Nothobranchius furzeri: one gene and its partner. The protein of the gene in region 1 purifies or fractionates together with the protein of each later gene. This does not show direct contact. Links are inferred from orthologs where the notes say so. Each region holds a gene or a part of one and is shown in the gene's direction. Other genes may lie near its edges.

What was found. Proteins that work in one complex are often made in the same cells at the same time.
Region 2: the proteins of hspa12b (region 1) and eef2k purify together in Homo sapiens (affinity purification with mass spectrometry; 3 studies listed by BioGRID and IntAct, with this or other methods). This does not show direct contact. The link is inferred for Nothobranchius furzeri from reciprocal best matches to the Homo sapiens genes HSPA12B and EEF2K.

Annotation. Positions count from the first base shown.
Region 1 is NC_091754.1:61,298,383-61,303,854, reverse strand, and holds the start of hspa12b (heat shock 70 kDa protein 12B), read left to right. Parts: upstream 1-1,985; 5' UTR 1,986-2,126; coding exon 2,127-2,276; intron 2,277-4,920; exon of another isoform or gene 4,921-5,239; intron 5,240-5,472.
Region 2 is NC_091756.1:44,629,667-44,634,493, reverse strand, and holds part of eef2k (eukaryotic elongation factor 2 kinase), read left to right. Parts: coding exon 1-105; intron 106-183; coding exon 184-311; intron 312-421; coding exon 422-641; intron 642-729; coding exon 730-800; intron 801-3,539; coding exon 3,540-3,617; intron 3,618-3,826; coding exon 3,827-3,883; intron 3,884-4,079; coding exon 4,080-4,145; intron 4,146-4,550; coding exon 4,551-4,682; intron 4,683-4,827. UniProt on the Homo sapiens protein: Threonine kinase that regulates protein synthesis by controlling the rate of peptide chain elongation.

The DNA of each region.
Region 1 (5,472 bases):
ACAGAAAACCCATATTTCCTCACGTTACATTTTTATTTTCCTATTTTTCTTTTCGTGTCCGTCTCTGATCTGCAGCTGTCTGGAGCGATTTAGTAATCCGTGCTGCCGCTCTCTGCATCCCGCTCAAAAGAATGTAATTTGGACCCTGTTTCCGAGTCCAGATCGGGACGTAAAGCCGAAACCATGTGATCGGATCGGGAAATCCCTAAAAAAACAACATTAATAATAATAATGTTAATGATAATAAATCTAACAACACACAAAGTTGTGAGTATTTTTTAGAGGTTATAGTGTTTTAAATCTGTTAGATTGTTACTGACAGCTGCTACATTTTAGTGTTTTAGGTTTCTGAGTCACTGATGCTTCGTGCTTCAGTGTGTAAATTATCATTCATCATGGACATGATCTTCTCCAAAGATTTATTTGAAAACACCCGGACTTTTCTGGTTTTCTTGAAGATACTTTGCCTCTCATCCAAGATCTCGTCTTCAGCTATGAACCCTGGCCTAGAAGTTGTGGTCAGAAACAAGCACACCGATGGTGCTGCAAGTCTTTTTCTCTTTAAAAAGTAAAAACACATTTTTGTCTAAATTGATACGTGTTAGTTTAGGTACTGTTTCTGTTCCTTTGTTCCCAGATCATAGTCCGTAGCACTCATTATAGCTTCATGGAAAATGTATGAGCAGTAAAGCTGGTCGGTGTGGATGATCAGCAGCAGAAACCCTGATTGGAGCATCTCTAGTTGTGTTTATCGAACCTTTATCAAAACAGCTGAAGTTCAAGAATAAGAAAGATGGCTGGGATCTCCCTTAGAGACAGGGTGAGAAGCTTGGTCATCTGGGAGGGGCTCGGAGTAGATCCGCTGCTCCTCCTCATCGAGAGGAGCCAGTTGAGGTGGCTTGGGCATCTGGTCAGGATGCCTCCAGGACGCCTCCCTGGTGAGGTTTTCCGGGCACGTCCAACCGGAAGGAGCCCTCTGCCCCGGCGGCGGTGGTCGGCTGTGGCAGCCTGGGCGCTTTCCATGTGTGCCTGGGTGGTGGTGGGGGTCTCTGCCCTCCCTGCCCTGGGCGCCCGGTGTCGGTGCCTCAGCTGCTGCTGTGGATCTGCTGCTGTCAGGGCGGATGGCTCCCCTGATAGTGTTTCCTTATCCTTGTCTTAGCTGGTCTGGCTCATCTTAGCTCAGCCAATCATGTTTTTTTACCATGGGGAAGGGGGCGTGTATGTGTGTGTGTGCGTGCGTGCGTGTGTGTCCGTGGAGGAGTGTTGTGTGAAGGGGTTTTTATTGTCAGACTGTTTTTAAATTCTGGGGATGGGAGGGATGGGTATGTGGGGCCTTTTTAATTTGTTAAGCACTTTGAGTTGCATGTATTGTAGGATTAAGTGCTATATAAATAAAGTTGATTCATTGATTGATTGATTGATTAAAGGTAGACCCAGGACACGGTGGAGGGACTATGTCTCTCACCTGTCCGGGGAACGCCTTGGGATTCCCCCGGAGGAGCTGGCCCAAGTGGCTGGGGAGAGGGAAGTCTGGGCTTCTCGACTTAGGCTACTGCCCCCGCGACCCGACTCCGGAGAAGCGGATGAAAATGGATGGATGGATGATGGATGGATGGATGGGTTGAGCTTCGTGGACTTTTATCTACATGTGTGCATCAAGCATCTACAGGATCCACTCAGAAGTAATAAAACTGTTGAAGGTAACAGAAGTGGACCATGCTGCATGTGGTTTGGATCAATAGAGCTGCTATCTTGGGAAGTTCTCATTCAGGCTTCTGTTGACATTTTGGGCTATTTAAAGAACCAACAGGGAAACGTGTGTGTGTGTGTGCACTCATGCTTGTGTGTCCCATGTACTGGGTGTGTTTCCGTCGCTCGAGGACTTCCAGGGACCCAGAGATAAAGTGAGTCACCCAGGGGTTCCTTCCTGTCACCTGACTCCATCACTTCCTGCTTCGAGTTTCCTGCGTTTGAGCGAAGAAGAAGGGTGGCACCGATGGCTTCAATCAGGCTTGATGACAAATGGGATAGAGATGATTTATTAAGACAAGCACACTCTAAAGATTGTGAAAATATCAGAAGGACTGAGCCAATAAATCTTGTCCTTCAGGAGTGGCAAAAGACGGATGGAACGAACAATAAAGGAGGCAATAAGGAGGGAACAGAGAGAGAGAGAGAGAGAGGGAACAGAGAGAGAGAGAGAGAGAGAGAGAGAGAGATGGTGGCAGGATCTCTATGGGGCCCCTTGGTTTTTGGTCAACAAAGAGACGTGCCAGGTAATGGCTTCCAGACTCTCACACACACACACACGTACAGCTAATTTGATTTGGAAATCTGACAGGACAAGGAGACTGAGTGTACTCGAACATGTGTGTGTGTGTGTGTGTGTGTGTGTGTGTGTCAGCTTTGGGGGTTAATGCTTGCTTTCAGTCACAGCTCTACTGGGGAGAAATCGGATCCCTGCAGAGCCAGACCACAAGCTCTAACAAAAACACGCGGAAACAAAAATCAGAAGAGACCTTTCTGAGCTCTTTGTCAAATGAAACAATCCGAGTTGGGTTTTTTCTCTCTCTCCCTCTTTTAGAGTTGTGTGGAGTAGTCGTTACCATCTCAGCAGCGATACACAACAATAAACATGATCTCCGTTTGGAGAATCAAGAAGAAAGTCAGTCAGGCTTTCTGGAGACTTTAGTCTGGTTTAAACTTCTGCAACTTTTTACAAGTTCCACTACTCTTTTACATTTCTGTACTTTCTCATCAGACAGATGCTTACAGACATCTGTTCAGTGTGGTGACTCTTTAAACAAGCTTTAAAACGTTGTGAGATGTTCTGCTACTCAGGAGTGCATCATACATACAGGTGTATGAAGGTCTAGAGCTCTAGTCTCCCAGTAGAAGTTACTGTAGTGGTATAGATCAGCCAGGTGTGACAATCTCTGCAATAGGACTTAAAACAGGATATTTTAGCTCAAATCGTGTCTCAATCTGAAGGCGTTTCTAAACATTTAGTTTTAAACGTAGGAAGGTAAGGAGTTAGCCATCCATCCATTATCGTCCGATCAGGTCACGGGGGCAGCAGCCTAAGCAGGGAGGTCCAGACTTCCCTCTCCCCAGCTACTTGGGCCGGCTCCTCCGGGGGAATCCCAAGGTGTTCCCTGGCCAGCCTGAAGCATAGTCCCTCCAGCGTGTCCTGGGTCTTCTTCTAGGTCTCCTCCCGGTTGGACGTGCCCGGAAAACCTCACCAGGGAGGTGTCCAGGAGGCGTCTTAGCCAGATGCCAGAGCCATCTCAACTGGCTCCTCTCGATGTGGAGGAGCAGCGGATCTACTCCGAGCCCCTCCCGGATGGCTGAGCTCCTCACCCTATCGCAAAGGGAGAGCCCGGCCATCCTGCGGAGAAAACTCATTTCGGCCGCTTGTATCCGCGATCTCGTTCTTTCGGTCATTACCCAAAGCTCATGACCATAGGTGAGGGTAGGAACGTAGATCGGCCGCTAAATCGAGATCTTCACCTTCTGGATCAGCTCTCTCTTCACCACGACAGACCGGTACAACACCCGCATCGCTGCAGATGCAGCACTAATCCGCCTATCGATCTCACGCTCCAGCTTTCCCTCACTCGTGAACAAGACCCTGAGATACTTAAACTCCTCCACTTGGGGAAGGACCTCACCCCGGACCCGAAGAAGGCATTCTACCCTTTTCTGAATTAAGACCATGGTCTCAGATTTAGAGGAGCTGATTCACACTCGGCTGCGAACCGCTCCAGTGAAAGCTGAAGATCACGTTCTGATGAAGCCAACAGGACCACATCATCTGCAAAAGCAGAGACCTGATCCTCAGGCCACCAAAACAGATTTCCACCTTGGCTGCACTTAGAAATCCTGTCCATAAAGGTTGTGAACAGAATCGGTGACAAAGGGCAGCCTTGGCGGAGTCCAACTCTCACTGGGAACGAGCCCGACTTACTGCCGGCAATGCGGACCGAGCTCCTAACAGCCCGTATCAGAGGGCCTGGTACCCCATACTCCCAGAGTACCCCCCACAGGGCCCCCCATCCAGCCTGGTTGAACACCTTCTCAAAATCCACAAAACACGTAGATCGGTGGGGCGAACCCCACTTCCAGGACGCCCCCAATGGGTATTGAGCTGGTCCAGTGTTCCACGGCCAGGAATCTACCTGAGCTAAACCGCCAGGTACTACAAAACATAAATATAAGAGATGTTGTCCAACACGACAGGGGTGGAGTCCCTACTGATGACAGAATATGCTTTTTCTGGATTTTCCCACACAAGTGAAACCGCTGCAGGACACTTTGTGGTCATCTGCTCTTTTTGCTTTCAGGTAAGACGCCGACTAATCATGACTCCAAAGATCCAAACGATCCACCCGATTAGGTCGGAAACGGACAGAACAAGTTCAGAAAACCATTTCAGCAGTTTGACAGTAAATACGAGCCGTTTCTGGACTGAGTAGATGCACTGAGACGTCGCTGCAAGAATCACATTCAAGGGAAATATTTTTGGTTTCCAACGAGAACCACGTTTCACTTTTCTCCACGAGTCTCTTCGCTCAGATGAAACTAAAAAGAAGCTTCGCAGTGACGCTCATCGCTCATGTTTGGCTGAGCACACCTGGCTGCTTCCTGCTTTTGTCTGAGAAGGTTCGACGGGAAGTTGAGGGCCCAGAAAAAAGAAGTGAAGTGAAAAGTAAAAACGATGAAGACAGGAAGAGCTAATTAGGCGAAGGATGAGCAGGAGGAAAGCGAGAGGACACAGTGAGTCAATCAGGATGCAGCTCCAACTCACTCCACCCTCCGACTTACTTCATCCCGGTGAGGTAAATCCCCCAGCACCCCCCCCTTGTGACGTCATAGCCCTCCCACTCCTGCTTCATGTGTCACAGCTTCTCCCTCTGACATTTGTTTGCAGCGGAGAGACGGAGCTGCAAATCCGAATCTGAGCTCCTCTGGGACAAAAAACCATCAAGATCAGGAAGAAAGTTTCCAGCTAAAACTTTCCACTTTCTAGTTTTGGACCATTTACTTCTCCAAAAGTAGGGAAGCGCCAAGTTTTTCAAGAGCTTTTCAGAAAAGCATCCTCCACTATCCTGCAGCAGTTTCCCCCTGTCCTCCTTTCATCCATCTTTCTTCCTCAGACGCTGATTCTAAGTCTGGAAAACTCTACAGTTTGGGAATACTCCTGTCATCCAGCTACAGTCGGTGTGGAACATTCAAAGCGGTGAGCGATCTCTTAAATATACAACCGTTTTGATGATTTGCGCCGTTGGTCATGCAGAAACTGAATGTTGTTGGTTGTTTGGTAAAAGTTTATTCCATTAATGTAAACATGGATCCCAATGGGAACGCCGTCCGTTTAGGTGCCTACTCTGCTGACCTGCTGCAGGTTTCAGGCTCATGTCAGAGAAAGTGAAGCGTGGAAAAGGCTCAGGGTCATACGTCAGTCACAGCACG
Region 2 (4,827 bases), on another chromosome or scaffold:
CGGGCCACCAGCTGATCGTGGTGGACATCCAGGGAGTTGGAGACCTCTACACGGACCCTCAGATCCACACGGAGAAGGGGACGGACTTTGGAGACGGAAATCTAGGTTGGATAGACGATTTGATGCATGTTTGAAGCAGAAGTGATTCCAGATGTTCCGCTCTGATTAACACCTGTGTTCCAGGTGTTCGTGGCATGGCTCTGTTCTTCCATTCCCACCTGTGTAACAAGATCTGCAAGAGCATGGGCTTGACGCCTTTTGACCTGGCCCAAGCAGAGCAGTCCCAGATGGACTGCACCAGCAAGCTACTTGTAATTTTAATACTTTGATAAAGTCTCAATTTGGAATGCTTTACATGTTTGGTGTGTCTTCGTTAGTCCTGTCATGTTTTAGCTCTAAGTTTCACCTCGTTTCCTGTCAGAAGTCGGCCCAGACGGTGCTGAGGGGGTGTGAGGAAGTCTGCGGCTCGCCTCGTGTTCAGACATTGTCTGCCAGCCGGGTGCCTCCGCTGCTGTCCCGCCTGTCAGAGACCTCATCTGCAGACGAGAGCGCGAGCGACATGGACTCGGTCTCCTGCTCGCCTCTCACCCTTCCCTTCTCCCCCATAGTGATGAGCGGGTCGATGGGCAGATCAGCCTCAGGTGCGTTCCTGTCCGTTTGTCTGCAGGAGCACGGTGCATGAGGAATGGACTAGTGTGTGAACAGTTGGTGTTTTCCTACATTTTCCAGGCATGTCCCTCTCTGGAATGGTTGAACATGACAGACTCAACAACAACAACAACAACACATCTGATCATAAGGTGAGCAGTCAAGTGTTCTCAGTGTGTGTTGTTTGCTTAAACACATTCACAAAATCTGCCTTTAGTCAGTTAATTTGGGTTAAAACCTCTGATTTAAGTTTCAAAGCTCTTAAAATTATTGATTTTAAAAATATATTTGTTCCGGCTCTTGGACAGTGCAGACGCTTTTTTAGTCCTCTCCTCCCTATCTTACCCTCAAGGCTTTTTGTCTGTCTTTGGGTGCACAGCTGCTTCTGCATTTTGTCTGGAAACTGAAATAACTAAAATGGATCTTGTCAGTTGGTCACTTAACGCGATGGATACAATTTTTTCAACGATGAGAACGGCTTTGGCACAAAAGATGGATGCCATCAAGGAGAAAGTGGACGAATCAGCACAGGTTGGGATAGATTAATGTCCATTATTGGGATTTTGAGAGGTTGAGGACCAACAGAACTTTAAGACAGAGAGGAAATTATCTCTGTCTGGCCCCAAAACAATTTCTAATCTGAATCTGGTGCCCTTGAACCTGTGAGGCTGCGACGAATACTCCCGCTCAGAAGAAATGTGGAATGCTGCCGTCGCTATGGCAACTCTGTCTCCTATCCCAGCCTGGGCAGGACTGCGGGCTGTGAAGGCCGCTGAATCGTTCCAGGAGTCACTGTGCCCTCCAAACCTCAACAACCTCCTTCTCCTGTCCAGACTGAGGTGACATGCGCTGCTTAACGTTTGTCTGCTGGAACTGACGTGTGGAGAGTCCCAAACCCACCACCCCACCTAGTGAACACTTATGTTGTGTGATGTCTGAAGTCTGTTGCATCTCTCTGTCTGAGGTGTTTTTTGCATAGCAAAGCTGCCCTCCCTGTGGAGGGTAACACCTTCTTTCCACCGGAGCTGTCAGCAGCACGTTACTGCAGCAGCACGTCTTGCTCGCGTAAGCTGCTGCTTGGCCTTTCCCACGAGACGCGAAGCAGCAGGGGAGCAGCTGCCACCGACCGAGCACGAAGTCACACGAGTGACTTTGTCAGTGAACACAACAACAAGCAGGAGAAAATTACAACATGGTTCCAAAAGGTTTGTGTTTTATGTTCTGTCCATTTTATAATCGCCAATACGGACCTGAAAAACAAAGGAGACCGTTAGCTAGGTGATAACTTCTCACGGGCCGCACAGTTAGTAACTTTTTTTTTAAGTAAAGCAACCGGAAGGCAGTATGTTTGTTTATTCTGAAAATCTCGGGAAGCTTCGCTCCATTTTCACGTCCGATTTCCTGTCTTTCCTTCCCCAAAAATGTCGAACTTGACCCGTTTCAGAGGCGCTGCGCGTAGAAATAGAACCGGCGCGTAAGGGCCGCGACATGCTGCTCCTGAGATGCTGCCGACTCGCGCTGCTGACGGTTCCGGTGGAAAAGGTTCTGTTGACCACAGCGGTTCCTATCAGCAGCTATGACGTGCTGCTGACGGCTCCGGTGGAAAGAAGGGGTAACTCTGAAGTGCCTTTTTTTCCCTCCACCTGAACCAATCCTCATGTAACCCTCTGATCTCTATTAAGGTACCGCAACTCGGGTTGCAAATGACCACAGTTACCAATTCTTGTCATGTGTCTTTGCCCATGTATGTCTGATCTCTGAATTGTGTGTACTGAAACGCTCATTTCCCTCTGGGATTAATAAAGTATCTTTGAATTGAATTATTATTCAATTTTTACATTCTGCATCATTCCTGCATTTATTTTTGTCTGTGGGCTAATTTCTTAGCCAAATTTACACTCTCAGAGTTGCTTACAAAGTTGAATTATCTTCTCGGTTACGGTTGATTATTTGTCTTTGTTTGCACAGCTTCTCCCTTACAGTGAGGATTATGGGAATTCAGCTAATTTCAGCATGTGTGTAGCCCTTTAGCAAACAAACATCCCTCTGGCCCCTGGGTAATGAGGCCTTGCAGAGTTCCAGAGCGGATTTGTTGAAAGGCTGACCACAGTTGAGTCCAGTGCAACAATGAGAGTGTTCATAAGCTTGTGGAAACAGATCTGCCCGAAACAATGTTCTGGACCAACAGTCCTCCTTTTGTAACAGTTGGTTCCTCTCTCAGAAAGGTATTTTTTATTTTTGTCTACAGTGACTTTTGTTTCTTTTCCACTGTGTGGGTAAAGCAACAAGACCAACACGACATGCCTGAGAGCAACACTAAGCAGCCAGGGTTAATAAAAACATCTAGCGTTTTGTACACAGAGACGACGGGTCTCCAGGGGATGTTCTTTTCTGTTTTTACATTGGAGTTTACATGGATACGTGTTGCAGCCCATTAGCTGCTTCCTACAGTGTGCTGCTGCACATATCCTGCTGGGTGACGCAGCTGTGGTGTAGCGCTGTGGCGTGAGGGAGTTGGTCCTGTTTCTGGAAGGTGGTCGTGTCAAAGCTGGAATTGCATGAACACTGAGTCATAAAGGGGATTTTGAAGTGTGTTTGTGGGTAAAGGTTGTTTAAAAATACCTGTTAGATTATAGATTTCTGAAGAGCCTCGGTTCAGAGAAACAGAGTTTATGACTAAGCTACGAAAACTCAACGCAGCACTAGCCTGGACCTCTTGAAGGCACCATTTCTCTGCAGTCTGATCGTCTTTCTTTAAAGACAATCTAGTAAGGACTGCAATTATACACTGTGGTTAAACATTAAGTAATGGGAATAGAAGAGTAGAGGTTTAGTTCCTGCTTCAGTAAAAGTGTCAGAACTAGTCCTGAGTTTTGTTGTTGTTTCTGCAGGATTCAGAGAGCGGAGGAGACAGCGGCTACCCCAGTGAGAGGAGGAGCGAAGGGGAGCCAAACGACCACGTGGACGGGGTAAAGACTTCCACTCAGGACTCGTTTTACAGCAGAAACGAGGAGACCGATTTATTTAACATTTAGTAACACGTTTGGTCAGATGTGTGTTGGTGTTCTAGGCTAGAGATGAGGTTCTCTGAAGTCTGTTCTGCAGTTGACCACATTACGTTTGGCTCTCACTAGAGCTCCTGGCAGCAGGTTTTGATGCATGTTGTATCGTCACATAGGCCCATCATCGCTACCACAGAACTTATTCTGAGTCGGATGACGACAGTGTCAGACGGGTAAACAAACAAAGATAAATGTGTGTGAATTCAATCATAACCGTTCTCGCTCTAATCCAATAACACAATCATCACCCTTCATCATCATCATCAGTGTTTTCTTTTCTCTACATCACCTGGTTGACACTGAAAAATCATTCCTCACTTTTTCCTCATAATTTACCCCCTCATCTTCTGTGTCCCCCCCCCCCACTAGAGGAAGATGGTAGCTCCTCCAAGAGTCTCCGCAAACTTATATTCACAAAGTCCCGACATTCAATGGGTGACTATTATTTGCCCGAAGGCTTGCTAGCTGACTGTTTTCCCAGCTCTGTGCAGTGGTTTTGCTTTAAAGCTTCACTTTTTGCTGATAATTTACCAAGCATGAAGATTTGTATCAATAATCAATAAGCTGCAGCTGTTATCAAGCTCACACCTTTACTGCTTCAGCTGAGTTACAAATACAAATTCATTTAAAAGAATTGACTTTCAGACTGAAAAACCATCTACCTCCAGGTCCCTGATGTTTGCCACTCAGCTAACTCGCCATCATCTCTTTGTTTGGGCTTCTCTTTTCTCCTGCTGTCGTTTGCCTCTGGCGTCTCTGAGTGGATGGGGATGTGCTCCTCCAGCTCTGAGCTGGCGTTTGTCTGGGTGAACTCTTAACTGGTTTGTTTTCTCTGCTCAGCTGACAGAGGAGAAGTGGAGCTTCTTCCATTCGTCTCGTGCTCACGTTCACCGGCCTTCCTGTGTGGCCACCGAGGTGGAGCGCCTCAACACTCTGCTGCAGAAGAAAATCGGACAGTCAATCCTGGGAAAGGTGAGATTTACGTTCTGTGTTTGCTTCTAGGTGTTTTTCATTTTGTTCTCAAATGTAACACCCACAACAGTCTAAGGAATAAGCAGAAAGCTTGGTTGTTTTTTTTTTTTTGGAAGTTGGGACTCGGATTAATCAATGCACCTTC